Arabidopsis thaliana: one gene and its partners. The protein of the gene in region 1 interacts with the protein of each later gene in a pairwise test. Each region holds a gene or a part of one and is shown in the gene's direction. Other genes may lie near its edges.

Region 1 (8,537 bases):
CAAAAGGACAAAATCATACTTTTTCTTGGTAATTTATGAAAATTTTAACACATAGGTGGCATATATATAGTATTCGTGACAAAATAATATCTAAACTATAATAAACATTTTAAAACGAATTAAAATTGTTGTATTCTAGTCGGAAATTTGTAATTAACCTGCAAATGAAATCTAAATATCCACTAATTAAAAGTATTTTTGAATTCTGATAAAACTCTAGCGTCGCGGATATTCTATTGATCAAAAATAAAATAATTTACTACCACATAAATCTTAATCCATGCGATAAGAGTACATATGTAGGACAATGGTCCTTATTAACTCATCCAACCAACACATGACTTGGAGCTTTTGCAGGTCTCTTTTTGAGTAGAGTGAAAGCTCAATAGGCCAGATTAATTAAAAATTTACATAGAAACTTTAATCTAATTAATTAAAAAAAAATTATTTTCGCATCTAACAAAGATTCAATGTTTTTGTGTGTTTATAATGATCAGATTAATCATATTTTTTTGTTTTTGGTAAGAAGATCAGCTAAATTGATAGATATTCTACTCTTTTCTCTTTTATGTGAATCAGGTTGTGGAAAACAAGTCAATAGAGTACACGTGGCAAGTGCTAATCTGTTATAGGGGTCCCTCTAAGATGAAGTTGGTGATCTGATCTGCCCTTTTTAACGTGGTCTCACGAGAGACGTCCGATATGTAGATGGACGGTGTGAGATGACGCTGCCTTTTTCTTTGAGTGCTCTGACCACCGACTATTTTGATCTATAAATAAATGAAAATACAAGAAAAACTCATAAACATTAGTATTTGTTGTCTTTTTGATAAAAGCTAAAAATATATATTTTGCAATTGCCATTTTCTATTGCGATTCTTAGCGTAATAGAATGGGTTGTATGTGAAAGCAACAACCAAAGTTAGACCCATCCTGAATATATCATTCCTCTGATACGGTCTCTTTAACTTTGTGGGTTTTTTTTTTTTTCCTTGAATAGCTTTTGTTTTATATATTATTGGATTTCTCAACTTTATTTATCCACTTTGAATTGATAACTACAACTCTACAAGCTACAGCCATCCTAACGAAAACTGAAATATCTTATTCTCCTTTTAAAGTGAAACGTTGTTCTCGTTCACCATCAAGAAGGATAATATATACAACAAGATCAAGATAAGTAATACTAGTGAAACGGTTTCTGTAATGACATTAGAAAAACCGAGACACCAAAAAACGTGAAAACTTTAACAGAGATTCGGTTATTAGTGCGAAGTTCGATATTTGATCAAAATCAACACATTTGTAACGTCTAGATGGTGAGTAAACAGCAGCACACAATGACACACAAACAAAAAAAACACTAATCCATTATACAACAATTGATCCTACCGTCAACCTGGTGGGCTGAGATGGGCTGTTAGGAGATAATAAATATAGGCCTGGATAAATCATTTTTTAAGTACTGGTGCAATAAGTAAGTTGTCTTCACTTTGAGTTCAAGTTTTGTTCATACTGAAGCTTTTTTCTTTTTCTTTTCACAATCCTACTATATATATACGTTTTTAAGTAAGATTCACCGTATATATTTATTTTCTTTGGTAGGGAAAGATTCAGCGTATAATAATAATTAGCAGTGGTCAACAGGGTAAAAAACAACAGTAAGTAGATTTGTAAACCGGGATTAAGAATATAGATTTCAATGATAGGAAACAGAGAAGAAAGCATAAAATAAGGATAGAAGACAAGAGAAGCTATAGGTACACCAAACTCTCCAATCTAAAAGAAGAATCCAAAGAAAGCTGGGCCAAAGAGAATCCAATGGGTTATAATATGGCTCATCACTAAGTCAGTCATGTAATTAAGATTATGTATATATATATGGACAAATTTGTATGCAACTATTTTCATCTATATTTAAATTCCTTATCATTTGGTCGATTGATAATGCTTACGTAAATAATGTCTTGTTCTGGATATTTCCGTTTGTGTCTCTATATTGTCCCGGTGGTTGAATGTTCTACTCCTAGACATAAACTAGAAAATAATCATCTAATGTATAATTTTAAAAATAAATGATTATTATACTGGTAAATTTTTTAAATTAATGAGCTTTGTTAGTAAAAAATCTCAACTTAATTAATCAAAAAATCATCTAATGTAAATTATTCTTTTCTGTAATATATATATATATATATATATATATATAATTCAAGTATTAGAATATTTAAATTTTGTGAGTATTAATCTAATTTTCCTATCATCTAATGACAATAAATAAAATGTATCTATATTTGTGTGAATATGGACTTTTTGGTATTTAGATAGACTGCTTCTGCTTGGTCTCGATACTTGACTTAGGGTCGCACATGCAAACCTCATTATTTTCTTCCATAATGTTGACAATTAAAAAAATTACCGAAACGAAAACACTTTCCGGAAAAAACGATGAGGCGTTATATCATTTAAAGAAAAAACGACGATACTAATTAAATAAACAAAAGTTCCGATAATTTTTACGTATAGGTTACGAAGACAATGACTTGAATAGAATTGTGAAGCAAGTATAAATTTCAAGTTTTGGCTGAAAAATTAAAGTAATAATTTGTGTATTAGTGTAAAAAAAAAAGTCACAGAATTAAGTAGAAGAGCTAATTATTTACACGTTCCGACAAAACACTACTACGCCCCCGACTACGATACGGCATGAGTCATGACCACATATTATATTTTTCTTTATCTTCATGTTTTTGTCGACCATGGTCACATTTCATTGTTTGGCCTGGTTATTCGACAGAGATCAATTTTATTGGCAATTAATGAGTCAGATTAGATCATATTAAAATCTAAGTGCGCCCGTGGAACATGGGCGGCGGACACCGACCACCTACAAATTCTACTGTTTAAACGACACGTGGAAACTATTTATTTTCTTTTTGGGTCGCCGCTCCTTAACTTATAAGTCCTGACTGGCCCAACAATTTTTTTTTTCTTTTTGGTTTTTCTTAAAGGTTTCTTATTGAATTAGATGATAGGGATTGCAAAAGACGGTGAAGCTAATACTCTTCTATAGAATAATTGAGAAAAATATAACCTAGAATGTGTCAGAAAAGTTAGATCGCAACCAAAATTTATCAATCAACGGAATGTCAGTTAATCGGTCAGGAAAAGAGGCAATTAAAAGTGTTTATTTATTTTGCCACAAGTGCTCTTTATCGCATTTTTAAAAAGTTGTATACCACCATTTTGACTGTTGACCCAAAAATATAACACAAATTGGACTAAAAAAGCATAAGGAAAAAACTTTTCGGTGTAAACAAAATACATAACTTGAAGAATGGATATTGAAAAGAAAAAAGTAATTCAGTTTCTTGAAAAGTACCAACCAACGACTATAAAAAAAAACTAACAATCTACTTCATTGATACGATCAAACTAGCTGTTAATATTTGTATCAAGTCGATTGCATCCAGACATGTTATTTCCATAAAATAAAATAGCAACGGCTCTCTCCAACTATAAATCAAATAACATTTAGATTATGGTAATGTAAATATTCAGATATGGAAGTAGCCGTTTAACCGTATGTGAAATCTCAAACGGTCAATTTCCAAATTAGGAACTAAAATAACCGTTGGTTAAATAGTTTCCTTTAACGATTGTCAAAGAATCATTACCGTCTTCTTATTTGTCTTTTCCTTTGTAATGAAACTATATATTATAATTTCAATATAGAACAAAAGAATAACATAAATTAAGTTTTTTTTGTCCTTTTCTGCCTTTACCTTTCCTTCTACTCCCGAAAAAGCACTGACTTTGCTCTGTTTCCTTCGTTCACACAGAGAAAGAGAGAAATCTTCTGAGCGAAATTCTGACAAAAGAGATGATGGAATGGGATAATCAGCTACAACCCAATAACCATCACTCTTCTAATCTTCAAGGGATCGACGTTAATGGCGGCTCCGGCGCCGGAGGAGGAATGTACGTGAAGGTGATGACCGATGAGCAGTATGAAACTCTCAGGAAACAGATTGCTATTTACGGCACCATTTGTGAGCGTCTTGTTGAGATGCATAAAACTCTCACTGCTCAACAAGATCTTGCAGGTTTCTATCCTTTCTTCTATCATTTAGTTTCTTCTTCTCTGTTCATCTAAAGATAAAAAAAGGACTCCTTTTGAAATTTTTAAAAAAATTCAGAATTTTTGTGTGGTTTAATTGATTTTTTAGTGATTCTTCTTCACTTTGGTGTATGGGTAATTGAAAATTCTCTGCCTTTTAAGCATTTGTTGGCTTAAATCTGATTCAAAGACCAATCCTTTTCGTGGATTTTTGAGCTAAGAATAAGGAAAATAATGGTTCTTGAGGAATTCTAGAATCACTCCTTTGAATCTTTCAATTGAGCTTCGAGAATTTCCCACCAAAATAGGTGTTTTTAGCTTGATGATGTGTTCTTGAGATATAAAGTTTCAGTTTTTTTATTTAGTTTAACTTTTAACAACTCTGCTCATTTGTCTGTTGTTGGTAACAGGAGGGAGAATGGGAGGACTATATGCAGACCCAATGATGTCATCTTTAGGTCATAAGATGACAGCTAGACAGAGGTGGACTCCTACGCCAGTCCAGCTTCAGATTCTGGAACGTATATTCGATCAAGGCACGGGAACACCGAGCAAGCAGAAGATCAAAGACATAACAGAAGAGCTGAGCCAACACGGCCAGATTGCTGAACAAAATGTCTATAACTGGTTCCAGAACCGACGTGCTCGATCCAAGAGGAAGCAGCATGGTGGAGGTTCTTCTGGAAATAATAATGGTGAGTCTGAGGTAGAGACTGAAGTTGAAGCATTGAATGAGAAGAGAGTAGTGAGGCCAGAGAGTCTTCTTGGTCTTCCAGATGGAAATAGCAACAATAATGGGTTAGGGACAACAACAGCAACAACTACTGCTCCTAGGCCTGAAGATCTTTGCTTTCAGAGCCCTGAGATTAGCTCAGACCTTCACTTGCTAGATGTTCTATCAAACCCAAGTAAGTAACAAAGATACCTTTTTAGTTCACACGTAACTGAAAAAAACAGAGACATTGGCTTTGAAGAAATAGTCAAGTAAGTTGTGTCTGTCTCAGATAATTTCTTGTGATTTGTGTTTGTAGGGGATGAGCATCTTGTTGGAAAGATGGGACTGGCGGAAAGTTACAACCTTTATGATCATGTTGAAGATTATGGCATGTCAGGCTGATTGAATACAAGCTGAGGAAACTTCTAATTATCAGAGAGATCAATGAAATGGATTTGGTAGTCAGTCATAAGCAGTATTAGACTTTTGTTTTTCTTAAATTGTTTCTTTCAGGGCTTATTAAAGAAACAAGTAGTTTATCTTATTAATCATTTTCAGAGAAACATTTACATGGATTGTTGAATCGTCTTGTGATGCTTGCTTTGATAATTTCTGCATTCAGAACGATTTTTACATCCTTAAATGAATTATACTGTAAGAAATAAAAAAATTCCAAGAGAAAAACATTTCAATTCAAACCTCTCCAGAGTTGAAAACATGCAAGTCTAACAAAGTTTTGTAATGGCCTTTCTCTATTTCTTCCTCATTCACATTGTGTAAGACCAGAGTCTGTATAACCAAATCCTCCCAATCAATTTCAGATCCTTTCTTCCTTTTCTTCTTGCTATGTTCAAGCTCCAAAGACAACGCACCTTCACTAACATTGTCAGAAGGATGTTGTATTGCATTAATCCGCAACTTAGCTGCCTTAATCTTTTCTCTTCGTCTTTCAACTGCAACGCAACCCTTTATGTAAGAAGGAGGCAAAGCTTCAAGCCCTACATCTTTCTCCAACAAGTCTTTGAGCAAAAGCCTTTTACTCAATTCCGATTTCCCTTTCCACCAATTTTCAGTTGACACCATTCCAAAAACAGATCTCCTTTGCCACATACTCTGACTACTTCCCTGACTTCTTTTCGCAAGAGTCCCACCACAAACTCGATCCTCAAATTCATTATACTTTGTAGACAACTGATTCTCCGATATATTATCATCATAGTTACATAAACTAAGCTGACGTTCACCTTCTACATCAAAATACCGAGACATAGTATCTTGACGAGCATCATCATCATAACAATACATAGATTCTTTGCTTAGGCAGTCCATCACTAAATCCTCCACACAAAATCCATCAGTTCTAACTAATTCTTTCCCAGTCCCTTGTTTTCTCTTTTTCATGGACTTGGCTTCCATTAAAGCAAACAAAGTTCCTGAATGTTTCAAAACATTCTTCACAGTAACATCTTTCGCCCAAGGCAAACCCACCTCTTCAGCAACCTTCACAAGCTTCTCAGATAACTCTTTATACCGCGTTTTACAAGTAGTCAACGAAACACTAGCATCTTTCGCCAAATCATCAATCTTTACCTTCACACCATTCACTTGAACAACAAACGCCAAAACAGCCACAACCAAAGGCATTGGTCTCCTCCCCGTCGACAAAAACCATTTCAACGCACAATTCATCAGGAAAGTCCCTTGCTTTATTATCTTCTCCTTCTTATCCCTATCAACATCAGTCAATCTCGGTGAATTAGTAACCGTCTTGGTAAACAAACCCACAAGATCAAACTCTCGCAATTCCAAATCTAGATGATCCACAACACGCTTAATCATAGGCCCTAACTGATGCAAATCACATCCAACTTCATAAGCAACCTCTTCCATAGACAAAACACCTTTCCCTTCTTCTCTTACCACAGCATAACAACAAGCTCCAATCAAAATAGGGAACCACTCACCTTGTCCAAATTCCCCATCAGTAAGCTTACTAATCATACTCTTAATCACTTCAGTTTTATTACCAAGATTCAATCTTTCTGTTGTCTCCTCAATTAAATTGTTGGCTTCATAGATCTTCTTGTCTTTATAATCAAGAACAGAGCCTCTACCAATGGTGCCTACTCGTATATATGTACCTTGAGGTCCTCTTATGCCGCCAAGTTGTGCCTCATAATTATCATACTCTCGTAATGTCCCACATCCACCGCAATACGAATTCCCCGTGTCTTCGTCGCGTTCAAAGTTGCTTCCATTGCATCTCTTGCAACGCATGATTCAAACCGAAAGCTTCACACTTTAAATTACGGGTTTTTTTTTCCGACAAGCAGAAGAATGAGATTCGGATCGCCGGCGAATCGAGAAGTACTGGAGAGAGAAATCAAAACTAATTAAGATTTGACCTTTCCTTAAAAATAAGCTAGGTTTTTATATTGTCGAGATGAAAACGGCATGATGTTAATATGAATAAAACAAAAACGCCAGGGTGTTTTATTTAGGACGCCACACAGTTTGTATTATTTTCTCTCTTTTGGCTTTTTGTTGTCTCCTCCACCATAGTGCCGTCTTTTATCTCTTTACCGGTAAGAGAAGCCGGTTTCAGATTTGATCAATTCGAAGAATTGTGGCTTTCGTTCGTTGGGTGAATCCTTGCTTCGTCCTTTTTGATAGATTGCTACTGTGTTTTCGAGGAAGTTGTGTGGAGATAGTTAGAGAGATTTATGAGATTTCAAGAGGGGTTATTATAACGCACGCATGGTGTTCGACGGAAAGCCGCAGAGAAGTTTTGTTGCTATCCGATTTGACTGAGACTCAAAGTTTGAAAATTGTTACTTGGGTATTGAGAAAGCTAACCTTGGGCAGGTTCGTATATGAGTTGGGAGTAAAACGACGGTGATACATTTGACTGTTTTTCAACTAAACTAGCTTTGAAATGGTGAGCTTGTCTGTTTCGAATAAGAGATACACTTACATACACGAAAGTGGAAGTAAGTCAACTAGAGAAGCCATTGATATTCACCATGTGATTATCAACGGAAGCAGCGGAACTGGTTATGCCCGTCGTTGGGGGCTTGGTTTCTTCCTTGTGTTTCTGGCGAGTTCTATGTACTTTTTGCTTGGAAAGGTAATTATGCTCTTAGAGAAAATTTGGTTGTTGCCGTTTGTTATTTTGATGTGAATCTGCTTGACATTTGAGTGATTCTGATGCATTGCTTAGAACAAGTGTTGCTAGTACATATCATGAGAAAGGCATACCATTTTGTTTCTTAGGATTGGTGATGGAGTATAGTTTGATATTTTCATTCTGTTGTGAGCATTATGTTAATACATGACAAGGTTTGTATAAAAGCACTTTTCTTTTTTTGTGTTACTTTACAAGCTTGTTTTGTTGTTGTTCCATTTGTTTCTTCTTCACTTAAGTTGAAAGGGATAATTCACATGAAACAGGACAATCCAGCTAGAACTCTTTCTTGGGGCTGCCTTTTAAGTGGTTTCTTGGTTATGCTACATAGTCGCAAGTTCGTCAAGAAAGGTGAGATCCTGGTTCATCCTGATACACGCTTTACAGGCTTACCAAATGATATCAGCTTCACGTTTTAACTAATTCTAGCTTTTCTTTGATTTCTTCAGAATCTGTGATAATCTTGCCAACCTTCGGGATCCAACTTGAAACTCAATATTTAAGGTATGCTTTATCCA
Region 2 (6,871 bases), on another chromosome or scaffold:
ACAAAAATCTTTGTATGAAATGAGAGGAAAGGAAGTCTGCTAATGAACAGAAAGCTAAAGAGGACACCGAGGAAGTACATGAATAAAATAATTCTCAGGAGTTTGAAACCAGGCTGTGAGTCTCGCAGACCGCTGTTTGTCCTCCCCAATACCAGATAGAAAATCACGAGTGCACTCATCACCTTTTTGAGAATGCTTTATAGGCCACATTACCGAATAGCTGGAACATATAAAACCAAATAAACATGAAGATAGAAAATATTTGCATACATGACATGTGAGCCCTGATCAAGAAGCGCATGTCAATCCACATTACACTTTTGAACTATAGCAACATAACACGTGTTTACAGCGCATAGAAGTTGAATTTAACAAATACGAGGAGCAGTGCAGGAAATTTTTTAAAAGTTGCTACCTCACAGCAGATTCTAGTTTCCCAGAAGGCATGAAAAGGAAGGGAGCTACTTTGAAATTGGGTTCATCACTATGCCTCAAAGCTGAACCCAATTCATCCATCACATACCTGCGAAAAAGTGATATCACTGCACCACTCACAGTCATACATATCCAAAAATTATGTGCCCAAGAACTACAGACAAGACTATCCATAAACTGTTTGATTCCCCCTCCTAATTCTAACCTCTTAAGAAGTAGACTAGCATCAAATGTTCATTCCCAATACTATAGAAATTTTGCACATATATACACCAAAGGAGACCTCGCCCAGTCAAATCAAAGAAGGCTTTAGTCTAGAGAAACAAATGCTAGGGTGAGAATACATTCCAAAAGTGAAAATGGTCATTCCGACATACAAAGAGTGGTAACTCTTTCAGCTTTCAGTGTTGGATTAGAATCGTCACAAATATTAAATATTGGATTTCTCTAATTTGTCTATTTAACTGAAAATTGTTATGATAGTTTAAATAGTAAATATAAACAGCCGTGAGTTTTATTTCTTATCCCCAGCAAATCCACCGCACTAATTCTAATATAGCAAAAAAAAAGAGAAACATTGCATACCATAAAGAAGTTTCATCAAGCTTTTCATCATCCGCAAGGCGATAATTCAGCGCATACAACCACATTGCATCAAGAACACGATCAACAAGAGTATCATCAGGATTCAGCTCAGGAATGCGTGGTTGAAGCATTGAGTCAACAACATGCTTTCCAGTTTCCAAAATTTTTGCCGTATCAACGCCATTTAGTAAAGAAAGGTTTGAGAGCGATTCAAGAATCTCTAGAGCATTAATTCCAAGAGGTCCAGGTATGTCAACCTACAAACAAGAAGTAACACGTGAGCTCATCTCTGCATAAATAAATTTTAGTTAACTTTGTACAGTAACCTCAATTTGTATCTGAATAAGGACAACTTCCAACATTTACCTCTAATGAAGACAGTGAAGGGAAGAGCTTCAAGACTTCAAGTAGTTCTCCAACAGAATTCTGATCCAATGAGTTTCCACGAATATTTAAATGAGAAAGTAATGGCATCTCGTGCACAGAGAATGCCTGAAAATGAAGAAAGCAAAGGCAGATAAATCAGGCACGTAAAATACAAAATTGAAACATACACCTTCGTCAATGCTTGTAGCCTCTACGGTCAATAAACTACACTCCCTGCCTCTCTGAGAGAAAGTAGGGGGACAAAACTGACCTTATTGACTAGATTGTGTATTGACCGGTTTGAAAGGTCAAGTGAGGTGACATTGCACAAGGGTTGATCCTGCTGAACACAACCAGGATTATCCTTCCCAAAGATATCTCCACAGAAACCAAGTGCCCATAACCCATAATTAGGGGTAAAACACGAGTTGTAAATCTCAAGACTCGGACAGCCTTGCAATATTTCGTCAGCCATCTGACGTTCACTGAAAATAATCATAAAAAAGAAATACATGAGAAATTAATTATATATCCACACACATCCATATATTTTGTAAATGCATGATTACCTCTTCTGAAGAACAGGATTGTCATTCAGCCACAAAGCCTTCAGATTCTTAAACTTCACAATCTCTTGTATAACCACATCCGCACTCTCTATTTTGTTCCCGATAAGACTAAGCGCCACTAAATCCTACCCAAAAAATGGCAGCAGCACAAACAAAGAAGCTTTAGAATCTAGCATTTGAAATAAACCTTCACCATCTGAGCTAGAGTCTAGCATGAAAGTACTAAAGGAGAAGAAAGATCTAAAGACATGCCTGAAATTTACTAGGCAAATGCAGGGACAACAATGAGTCATCAACACCAAGACCCTCCAACTCCAACCATCTCAAAGAGTCATATCCTTTATCTGCTGCATAACGAATTTCATTGTCAATTATCTGATCAACAGAGAGTTCCTCTGCCACTTCTTCTTCTCCAGCATCCACATCAATATCAACACTCATCAAAGAAGCCATCCTCTCAGCCAATCCAGGAATTTCCTTAAGCTGAAGTAAGAGATTAAAACAAACCTTAAGCTTCATCACCAATCCAAAATTCAATAAGCTTCTTTCGAGAGTGAGAGTAGGCGTTACCTGCTTATAGGCATCGGGAAGACGAAAAGTCCAGGCGTGATCGACAAGGAAGACGTCAGAATCTTTAGGCATAGATTCGGCAGTGAGGAGAAGCTTCCGTCGCTGATCATCCTCGCAGGATTCGATTTGGAAGTAATCGCCGCCATCAAAAGTATCGTAAGCAAGTTTCTCGAAGAGGCGTGGGTAAAGCTTCGGCGGCAAACCTGAAGCCGCCAAAAGTATTCCATGTACTTTGACGAAATCATCAAAGCTCTCGATTTTGCTCATTGTTCTCTCTGAGGGGTTTTAGCTTAAGCTGCGTTTTCGGCGACAGAAGAAGAAGAGAAGTGGGAGTGATATAATAGGGTTAATTTTGAAAAGTAATAACTAAAAAAATGTAAGAAACAAAAAGAGGTCCTACCGGGAGTCGAACCCAGGTCGCTGGATTCAAAGTCCAGAGTGCTAACCACTACACCATAGAACCTCGGATGCTTGTTAGGTGAAAGCTATCTTATTTATATACATAATATATGCGTATTAGAAAAAAGGAAACAAAATAGAAAAAAGGAAACTTTGTAACTTTTAATCCTGACCGCTGAAATTTTGCTGATATCTTGACCGTCCTTTGAATTGATAGCTCGTCTATAAATAATGCTCTTGCTCTTCCTCTCTATGCTAAAATCTCGAAACCCTAATTATTCTAAGATTCTAATTTGTGAAGTTTGTGAGGTTTTAGGGATGGGTTACAATTTCTACATGAGAGTGTATGAGGTTGTTGATGATGCTTCAACGGATGCAATCATATCGTGGAGCGAAAGCAACAACAGTTTCATTATCTGGAATGTTGGAGAGTTTTACAGAAGGATTCTGCCTAAATATGTAGACTTGGGCACAAACCTCTCACGGTTTTTCTCCAACCTTCGTTCTCATGGGTTCAAAATAGTTAAAGGAAGAACTGGAGTATTGGAATTTGGACATGAAGATTTTATCAGAGATAAACTGGAGCTTATGAAGAAGATGGTTAGCGATAAACGTAAAGCAAGGAAAGCTGCTAAATCCAAAGCAAGGAAAGCTAGAGTTCAAGTCGAGTTTCTCTTCCAACACTTGCAAATTTGATCGTCCATTAAATCAGTCTTCTTTATTATGTATATTCGTCTCCAAGTAGATTCAAGTCTAAGAACTTTTCAATAGTATGTTTCTCTCTTTATAGGAACCCTCTTTATATGCCTAGTCTTTGATTCTTCTCTTATGATGGTGGCTTCTCTTCTTTATTGTCTTATATTATGATTCATAACAACATCACATAGAAACTTCCTAAAACCTCTTAACAGAAAATTGAAAACTTTTGAAACATCTTTTATGGAATATCCATCCACTGCATTACACTAGAGATTAACTTTTAAAACTACTACTATGGATTCAAAATCTGGAAAAGGGAACAAAGTGGTGTTAAAAACGGATCCTTTTTAAACCCTAAGAGATAAGTTTCTCTGCCTACTCTGCCAAAGTTATGTTATATAGCCAGATGGATACCGTCTTTACTTCTTGTGAATACTGTTGCAAATCCATTGCGATTCTTCTCAGAACTCCCTCGGTTTGTTGAAACTGGCATTGAAACAGCAGCAGACGCAGTAGAAGAAGAAGAAGATGGAGATGTTTCTTTGGTTGGTTTGATGGACTCAGGATGATTTCTTGTCATGAAAGTTTCGTTTTTGTGAACCTTCCAACTCTCTGAGTTGCTGCTGCTGCTTACACCATTTGCAGCCATTGGAATTATCGGTGTATCGGTTAAGAAATCTTCAAGTGTTGCAAGGGACTGCAACTGTTTCCCCAATGAAGCTATTGTTTTCTGACAATTCGCAAGTTTCCCTGCAGCTGTTTCTATGTCTTCCTGAATTATAGTAATCAAGTTTTAGTGGACAAAAAAGTGATTGTGATGGAACACAGTCTAAGTTTAACTAACACCTGAACTTTGGAGACAGACCTGTTTGATCTTGGGTTCTTTATTTTCACTCTTGATTGAGTTCTCTTTATGGAGAGAGATCTCTTCTTCAAGAGCCTCACATTTTCTCCTAAGCTCATCAAAAGCAAACCTCTCCTTTCTCATGTCTTCTTCCAAAGATTCAATCTTTGCGGATTTAGTCTTTGCATCTGCTTCCATTGCGATGGTTTGAGACTCTACTTCAGCTTTTAGTTCGTTAACGAGTTTCATCTCCGTTTGTATCTCCCCCAGCTTCGTCTCGATTTCTTGCAGACAAACTTGAGATTCTTCATATTTATCTTTGATTATGTCAAAAGATATTTGCAGCTCAGCTTTCTCAACTTCCAACTTCTCCAACTTATTTTCCAGCTCCATTTTTTCACAAGCAATAGCTTCGAGCTCAAATCTCAATGTGCTCTCCACTTCCCTGTTACATTTAACTTCACTTTTGAGCTCATCTTTCTCTACTTCCAACTTCTCTAACTTCTCCTCAAGTTGCTTGATTCGGCAAGTCAATACTTCTATTTCAGTAGCCAACGAGTTCTCTACTTGAGCAACAGCCTCTTCTCTGTTACATTTTACTTCACTTTCGAGTTCAACTTTCTCCGCTTCTAACTTCTCCAACTGTTCTTCAAGTTCCTTAGTTCGAGAAGTCAGTACTTCTATTTCAGCAGCCAATGAGTTCTCTACGTGAACAACAGCCTTTTCTCTGTTACATTTAACTTCACTTTTGAGCTCCTCTTTCTCTGCTTCTAACTTTTCCAACTTTTCTTCAAGTTCCTTAGTTCGAGAAGTCAGTACTTCTGAGTTCTCTATATGAACAACAGCCTCTTCTCTGTTACATTTAACTTCATTCTCGAGCTCATGTTTCTCGGCTTCTAACTTTTCCAACTTCTCTTCAAGTTCCTTAATGCGAGAAGTCAGTACTTCTATTTCAGAAGCTAACGAGTTCTCTGAGGGAACAACAACCTCTTCTGTAACTGATTCAGGTCCACTCTTACCGTTCCCATCTGGCGTCTCAGGCAATGCTACAAGACGTTCCATCTCAAGAAAATCACCCATGAGATCAAGTTCAATGGAAGAGGAAGTTCCCTGAAGGCTTCTCTTCTCAATCAATGTGGATGATGCCCATGAATCAGAGCAACTCACATCCATTCGTTCCCCTCCATCAGAATGACTATCTGTAGATCGATGATCGTTAAACGAAGCTGATGACTTAGCCAACATCCGAAACTTCCTGCACTCAGCCTCAAGTTTCGCCACTTTCTTTATGCTATCTAACTGCTGCTTGCTGGCGGTTTCAGCTGCTTGGGTACTCAAATCCCTCTCAATAGTTCTGATCTCTAGCTCTTCGCATCGCGCAAGAAGCTCGTGTCTAAGCATCACGTTTTCTTTCGCCACAGATTCCGCCATTTGGCTAAGCTCCTCAGACTTGGTTGCAGTTTCAAAAATCTGGTTCTCAAGGCTGGTTCTAGAAGACTGCAACTCCTGAGTTCTCTCGATCACAGCATCTTGAATTCTCTGTTCTTGTTCATCTCTTGCTTGCCTTAACTGTCTCACACACTCCTTTAAAGCTCCATCAAGATGGCTTACTCTATCTTCCAACACTCTATTCTTATCATCAGCAGCCTCAAGCTTCTCCTTTAACTCAACCACTTCATTTTCAGCTTTCTCCCACCCTTCACAACAAGAGTAGATATATCTTCACTAAAAAGTCGCAGAATCATAAAACAAAAATGTAGAAAAAAAGATTGATACCAGCGACAGCTTCTTCAGCGACTTTGACATGTTGCTTCACTAGATCATCTTTAGCACTCACATTAGCAAGAGCAGCTGAAAGTTTCTCGGCTAAAGTCTTCATGCTATCTTTCAACTCTTCCTTTTCAGTTTCTACTTCCAAAGAAACCGTTGGTGATTGTATCTCGTCATCACGAGACTCCATTGTACTCTCAGGCTTGAGCAAAAATAAAAACAGACATTACAATGATCTTTTAGATGCAAAGGACACAAGACTAAAATAACAAAAACAAAATTCTTGATCTTACTTGAATTTCAGAATCCTTCTCAGATAGTGAAGACACAGACTCTGATTCACCAAAGCTTCTCTCAGATGATTCTCTCTTCCTTTTCTCCATTTATAGTTTCCAAGATCACAATCAGCACATAACAGTCTCAGGATCTGAATGAGAGAGAAAACACACACACACACACACATACATTGGATTCTTTAAAAATGCTGAAACATACATAAACATAGTCAAAGAAGAAACAAACTTTAAGATGAAGTAAACTGAACCAATCAGCAAACATGCAAGATAAGAGAAAATCTTGAATAAACCAATCATTTAACACAAAGTATTAGAAATGATTTAAAGGAACTGAATTT
Region 3 (7,039 bases), about 17 Mb from region 1:
GACTTGGTCGCATGAACCATGTAACCTTTCTGTTATAATACCAAAAACGTTATTCATTTCAAACTTATAACTAAAAGTACTAGGAAAATGTAACATATCTCTAAATTGTGTAATCAAGATTCAAAAAACTAAGCATTAAACAACAGAAGATTGTTTATGATATTTCAAGTATGTGTTCATTAAATGGACAGCCCAAAATGTTGGTGGAACTAGTAAGGTGGTTGGGGATAGAAAAATAATCCAGAGGGTCACGTGAAGTGATTGGTTGGATACATTTATGAACCTTACTAATTGCTTCCAAATCAAAAATTTCATTATTTTTATAAGATTCACGCGTAGACATAATGACACTAAACCAGTCAACAAGTTAAATTAGATTATCTAGCTTAATCAACAAGCAAATCAAACGTTTGCTTAGATTCTCAAGTTACCTCCAAAACACATCTTACACTAAACCAATCAACACTCAATAATTCAACTTAACTTTACCCTATAATCGACCAAGATTGGATAAAAAGATTGGAACAGTACCTTGCAGAGAGACATGAAATCATGATCAGAGGTTCGATCACCGAGGCCGAGATCAGGTGATTCGTTACCAAACTCTTTTAAAATGGCTAACCTCTTAAGATCACCAACAAGAACACCAGGCTTCTTCACAAATCCAGTGGCTCTATTGGTTTTAGGGTTAACTTCAATCTCTGTTCCCAAAACTTTATCACCTCCAAGATAATCCTTCACAAACGCCTCCACCATCACAATCGGATTCGCCGTCACTACCACTTTTCTCTTACACTTATCAAACACCTCAAAACTGTCTTTCCTCACATCCGCCGCGTAAAACCTAAACAAAGTTCATCAGAAAAAAACTAAAGTGATCTACTAACAAGAAAACACTCTATGTTAGATCTCGTACCGTGGAAGAACTGCGCGAGAGACAAGTTCGATATCGCGGATTTTGAGACCAGCGAATGAGATGAAGATGAGGATCTGGATACCAAGAGATTCGGATACGAATAGGTAAGAGATAATGACGAATGGTAACGAGAGAAGGAGGATTAGTCCACGTAAAAGGCTTCCAGCTTCAACAGCGACGAGCATGAAGTAAGGGAAGGAGCTTCTTGAGAGAAGCAGAGTCCCGTCAAGATCGGCGGCTATCGAATCGTACTCTCCGTCTCTGCATTCCGTTATTGGAGGGAAGTTTTGACTCTTCTTCTCCGGAGACATTTTCACTCGCTGTGTGTGTGTCTCTCTCTCTCACTCTCGTTAATGGCAGTTCTAAAGAACAGAGAGCAAAAATAAGAAGACAAGAGAGGGAACGTTATGTTTTAAATGCACCTATATTGAAGACCGTAATATTAATTCAGTGGGTTATATCTATAATCTATATCTATGTGAATGAATATGATATATATATATATATATGTATATGTCATTAACTATGAAATATCCACTAAGAGCGTAAAGTGTAGGGCCACATGTCGAATTCATTATATGAAAATGATTATATGCATCTATACATGTGGTGATATTGTTGACACAGTCGAATTGTCTATAATCTTTTTAGAGACTTTGTCTTAGATTTGGGTTTAATTATTTAGTTGAAGTGAAGTTGTTAGAAAAGTTTTAGATTTAATGTAGCTTAGATATCAACTATATATTGGTTTAGTTACTAAACCAATATATAGTTGATATTAGATTTTAATTGCATTACTGTTGGGAATAATTTAAATCTTGGAGATGATATTGAATAAACTCTGTTAAATTTCTTAACCCATCAAAATAGGGAAAATAATAAAGGATATTCTAGAAAGCTTTATGAAAGATCAGTGTTAGCCAAAACCGACAAGAACCGGACCAATACGGGCCGTAACCTCATTCTAGAAACGATCTTATCATTTCAATAGAGGCGGTGGCTCGAGTCAAAATCCCACGTGGATTAGGGTCAAGAAGACCTCTCTATAAAATGTAGGACTAATTCGACACAAAGGAAGGAACAAAATCGAGGACAAAACCGCAAAACACACGACTTAATTTTAAAACACGACTATAATTTATAGATTAACTTGTTATGCCTTGATTTTTGTATTTTGCAATCGATATTTTGACCAATAAAAAAATTATATTCGATTATTTTTATATTTTTTTTTGTAGAATGTCACAAATTGATTACTTTTGTCAAAATAATTAGTTAGTGTAAAAATATATATGACCACAACAACAACAAAAATTCTTCGTTGTGCAAGTTAGGTTGATCTTGTTCTCACTACTTGAGCAGTTGAGCTTAATTTGTTTATTTGACCGTTGGGAGTTGCACCGCTTTGAGCCGCACATTTATGCTCATTAAACATATTTATAAAAAAAACGCATGAAAGTGTTTGACCAGAGACAAAGTGTATTAGAAATTCACTAGGCTTACACAAAAAGGCATGTTGAGCTGTATTAGAAGACCCTTAACAGGCCTCCATACTAGTCTTGAAGATGGGCCGAAATTCACTAGGCTTAAAGATGCGCCGATATTCACTAGTCTTAAAGATGGCACCACAGATGGCTCCGAGACATTGCATAATCATGTAGAACACTGCTCTGGTCAGAGACAATTTCCGAGCCAAGAACAGACCAAATGTTACGAAGAATGGATTATATAATACAGTACAGTATATGGTTTTGCCTTCTTATATATGTCCACATCATTTAAAATCTTAAACCAAAATTGAATAATTTAAATAACTCATAAAACTTTTATATGTATGCTTGTCTTACATTCAAAATGCGCATTATCACTAGTTTAATATTTCTATAACTGATCAGTTTTTAATTGGTTGACACCAAATGAAGTGGTCACTGACGCTATAGGATTCTATTGGGCTGCATATTAAAGTTTTTTTAAGAATTGGAACTTTTAATATTATCTAGGGTTGAAGGAACTAAAACGCCTGTCCTACTGATGTAAGGCTAGCCCTAACCTACATGTATCTCAAGCGTCCAAATTTACGTTAATACAATTTTCAAAGCATTGTTTTTCCTCTCCTTGGAGAAAGTACATGCAAAATCAAAATTAATGGCTCCGACTTTTCGAATCACCGCAAGCTACTATCTCTTCGAGTTCTGGTTATAATAGTACTTGATTAGATACTTCTTATAAGGCTTAAAAGCCAACTTAAATGCTATTGCAGTAAAGATTTCATTCCTTCTTCACTTCACTTTACGAATCTAAAGGATATATTTAGTTCTTCTTCACTTCAACTAAAAGGCTAAACTCCCAAAAAAATATTTTTATCTCTCTCAAAACTTGAAATATGGTGAGGAAGACTACTCAAGCTACATCTCACAAGGTATCGACAATATTTTATTTTTATTATTGCATGAAGATTTGTTTTGTCAATGCATGAAGATCCCAAAACTTGAAATATGGTGTTTTATTTTTATCATTACATGAAGATTCGTTTTTTATCATTGCATCTCACAAGGTATCGACAATGTTTTATTTTTATCTTAGTCTTTGTTTGGTTTTATGTGTGTAGTGAAAACCACGTTAATTGACTCATACGCTGCACAATGTTGGAAGTGTCTTAAAGTGAGATCTATAGAGTCACAAGAAGATTATGAAGAGATTCGTAGTAAAACACTGGAAAAGTTTTTTGAATGCAAGAGATGTGAAGAACCTGGAGATATGGTAATGAACTTTGATTCCCTTACTATGCGTTGGTTTCAGGATGAACATAGTATACCCAAAACCCCTCAAGGTTTGAAGAGAGTTTTGGTCGTGAGAACAAACTGCGTGAAAGTCGATGTTTACTATGAATCATTGGCTCCTAGACGAAAGAGGTTTAAATCTATAAAGGAAGTTGCAACGTTTATTGAAGACAAGGAAGAATTTAAAGACATGACGCTTGAAGAGGTTTCTTTTGCCGCACCCAAACGGCTGAAACTAAAAAAGAAACCTGTCGATAGTCATTCTAGCTCAAGGAACACTGAGGAAGATGGTGTCTCGAGAGATGCTTAGTTTTGTCTGCTATCACTTATCAGGATCATTCATCGCTTCTCTTTATCTCTTCTCTTTTGAACTTTTGGTTTTTGTCTTTGATTTCTTTTGGTTTTTGTCGTTGAACATTTGATGCTTTATGTTTTCCCAGTTTAAGCAATTTATTTCCTCTTTTATCATATCTTTTATCATGTACTTGAGTAATCTGCCTAGTAATCTCCTTCTCTCTGAACAAACTGCTACCTAAATTACTAGCAGCAAACTTTGAATCATACACGCTTCTTAGAATTCAAAGCTTCTGAAAGTCCATCTTTGAACAACTCAACCTTTGATTTATCTTTGCACTTCTGATATTTTGACAGTCTTAGACCATTCTGGTAGCTTTCCTTGTAGCTATCTCACACTAACTGATACAGTGACGTTCTTGAGGCCCTTTTAACACAATGATTTAATCAACCTTGAGATCTTTGCAAATCATAGCTTTTGATCATTCTCTGAAATTCCTTCTCTTTGAAGCAACAATATCGAAGGTCTCTTTCTCCTTGTGATAGCAACAGATTCATAAATACTTCAATATGCGAATCCTTCTCTTTAAGAACGAGCTATGAGAAGACTGATTCTTCACCACTAACTTGTGTTTTACGTTTCTTCAACAAACTTAATTACAGGTTCTTTCATATTAATAACTCTTCATGATAAACCAAGTTCTGAAGATGCCAACGTAGAGATCAGTCTCAGACTCCATTACTCAAATGCCTTGTAGTTTCAAGCCAATGCTGACATTCATGTCTCTTTGCCTTTCATGTCACTAAAAACTCTTCGTTCCATAAGACTCTGTATCAACTGTTCTGAAGGGTCATCAGTAAGCTATGTTCCCGGACTCCAAATTGAGTGTCCTTATACCAGAATCTTGTCTCACATGTCTAGAATATCTCTGACAAAATTCATCCCATTCAGAACTCATTTGGTCATCCGTGTGATGTTTCCACCGAAACTGGTCAAAACTGAAACTTCAGATGAATTGTGCCCGGATCAGGTTGAAGAATCTCAAATAACACACAAACCAACCGTCAAAATCTCAATCCCACCGTTGAAAATCAAGACAGAAAAGCTTGCCACAAAGTTTCGGCTCGATCAGATTACATTTCACCAACCAAACGTTTCCTTGAATTAGACATTTCAGAACTGGTTCATATCTCCTCTTTCTTCTCTTCTCCCCCATGGTTGCACTTTGTTAATCTCTTTCATCACACAACATTCTTTATGTGACCAACAAGATCATCTTTTCCTTAAAAATGTGCTCTCCAAGCTAGCCTTTAAGATTCTATTTTACAGTTTCTTGTCTTAAGGCAACTAAAATTCTGCCTGTGAGACAATCTCTAAGAGATCTATAATCTACATAACCTTAATCTTGTTATTTGCACCGGAATCTCAGACTTAAAGTTTCTCAGAAGAAATAAGATGATGATGTTTATCGCCCTTGCTAGAATCACCGGAGTAACCAAAGCACCACATAGCATATGAAAAATTCCCAACTGTTTAGCTATGTGGTAAGATGAAAATTTTCGATGTGGTATAAAGGCAGCTTAGGTTAAGACAGCTTCGAGGCACTAGTAGTAGATTTTTATGTGTTATAAAGGCAGACTCATTACAAATTTTGTTTACTCAGAATAGATATCAAACTTATGAAACCTATCAAAATGCTAATTTTCATTGAAGATGGCATGAGCCAAACGAAGGTTGGCAATAGCTAAGGTCAAACCAACAAAAGTTTGCGACTTGCGTATATAGTTATATCAAAGGAAAGTTGACGCGAGATATAGTCAAAGTATCAAAATAGACATTTGCATAGATAGACAAAAAATAACGCAGGTTAAAGGTACACATGAAAATAGTCTCATAAAAGATGAGTATTTTGTGACCTTTTGAGCATCCTAGGTAGAGCTTATATCAAAAGCTAATCCTTAAGGCCGATAAACATAAACAAAAGTAATCACCTTAACAGATTCTAACTGGCAAAGATCATTACACGGGTTCACCTGTTACCATCATCTTCGATATCGGTTTACTCCGTCCTTTACGACCAGAAGCTTTCTCTGTTTGAAGGGTATAACCCACATTCTTAAGATACCAAAGTGCTGCTTCTGCTGCCTGCTCAGCTGCGATTTTCTTCTTGTACTGTGGATTCCCAAAACACTCCAAAACCGTTATCCGAGAATCCTCCTTCATTTCAACCGTAACTTTGCCTGTAAATCTGAACAAAACAAAAGAAAAACATGAATGATGCTGACACTAAAGATTTCTAACCTTTAAAATGTGAAAAGAGTGCAGAAATTATGTGCTCTTACATTTTCATATGGCAAGGACCCTCGGCGATATACTCATACAGTGGTGCTTTCCAATGCCTCACACTACATAAATTATACAACTGTGATTTGGCTGAAGATCTCTGAGTTTCTTCTAAACAACATGCATGTGAACAACAGAACAAAATGTCAAATTGTCGATAAATGAAAACTAACCCCAAAAAAATGAGACATAATTGACAAGTTTTAAGCTTTTGATTTTTAAGGAATCCAAAAGCTCTTCAAGAAAGCAAACACAGGTACACAATACTAACATTCTTATTCCATAACCATAGCTTTCATCTTTAAAACCCTTATAACCAATAACATTAACAAAACCTTAGCTAAATACAACTGATAACACCAAAATTAAGTAAACAGTGTGGGGAGAAAAAGAGTAAGTACCTTCAGTAGTGGGCTCAGTTGTGTGAGGCCTCAAATCTGCTTCTGGTTCGGAAACAAGAGTGTTCTCAAGTGTAAAGTTTGGCTCCATCTGCGTGACATTGTCTTCTTCGACAGTATCGTTCAGCTTCCTTATCTTAAACTTACTTTCGCATCTCTGTAGCAACATCCTCTTTTGAGCCTGAATAGAGACAAAGAAAAAATAATAATAATAACTGATCCAATCCAACAAAAATTAACAAAAAGACATGACAAAATGATTATTTCTTCTCATTTAAGAAGATCTAAGCCCAAAAGGAAAGACTAA

Evidence for each region.
Region 2: the proteins of WOX13 (region 1) and AT1G77570 interact in a two-hybrid assay, tested with the Arabidopsis thaliana proteins (one large-scale study listed by BioGRID).
Region 3: the proteins of WOX13 (region 1) and MBD3 interact in a two-hybrid assay, tested with the Arabidopsis thaliana proteins (one large-scale study listed by BioGRID).

Annotation. Positions count from the first base shown.
Region 1 is NC_003075.7:16,872,514-16,881,050, reverse strand, and holds WOX13 (WUSCHEL related homeobox 13), read left to right. Parts: upstream 1-3,599; 5' UTR 3,600-3,883; coding exon 3,884-4,106; intron 4,107-4,530; coding exon 4,531-5,028; intron 5,029-5,151; coding exon 5,152-5,237; 3' UTR 5,238-5,528; downstream 5,529-8,537. Other genes in the region: AT4G35540 (POLLEN-EXPRESSED TRANSCRIPTION FACTOR 2), read right to left, coding at 5,529-7,112; AT4G35530 (phosphatidylinositolglycan-like protein), read left to right, coding at 7,771-7,962, 8,286-8,370, 8,469-8,523.
Region 2 is NC_003070.9:29,140,174-29,147,044, forward strand, and holds AT1G77570 (Winged helix-turn-helix transcription repressor DNA-binding protein), read left to right. Parts: upstream 1-3,176; coding exon 3,177-3,620; 3' UTR 3,621-3,838; downstream 3,839-6,871. Other genes in the region: AT1G77550 (tubulin-tyrosine ligase), read right to left, coding at 79-220, 416-523, 1,021-1,277, 1,387-1,512, 1,658-1,871, 1,956-2,080, 2,208-2,438, 2,526-2,792; AT1G77580 (filament-like protein (DUF869)), read right to left, coding at 4,018-4,395, 4,489-6,164, 6,244-6,439, 6,531-6,620.
Region 3 is NC_003075.7:175,508-182,546, forward strand, and holds MBD3 (methyl-CPG-binding domain 3), read left to right. Parts: upstream 1-3,514; coding exon 3,515-4,006; downstream 4,007-7,039. Other genes in the region: GPAT8 (glycerol-3-phosphate acyltransferase 8), read right to left, coding at 1-29, 532-844, 917-1,227; AT4G00420 (Double-stranded RNA-binding domain (DsRBD)-containing protein), read right to left, coding at 6,011-6,239, 6,334-6,445, 6,736-6,913. UniProt on the Arabidopsis thaliana protein: Probable transcriptional regulator.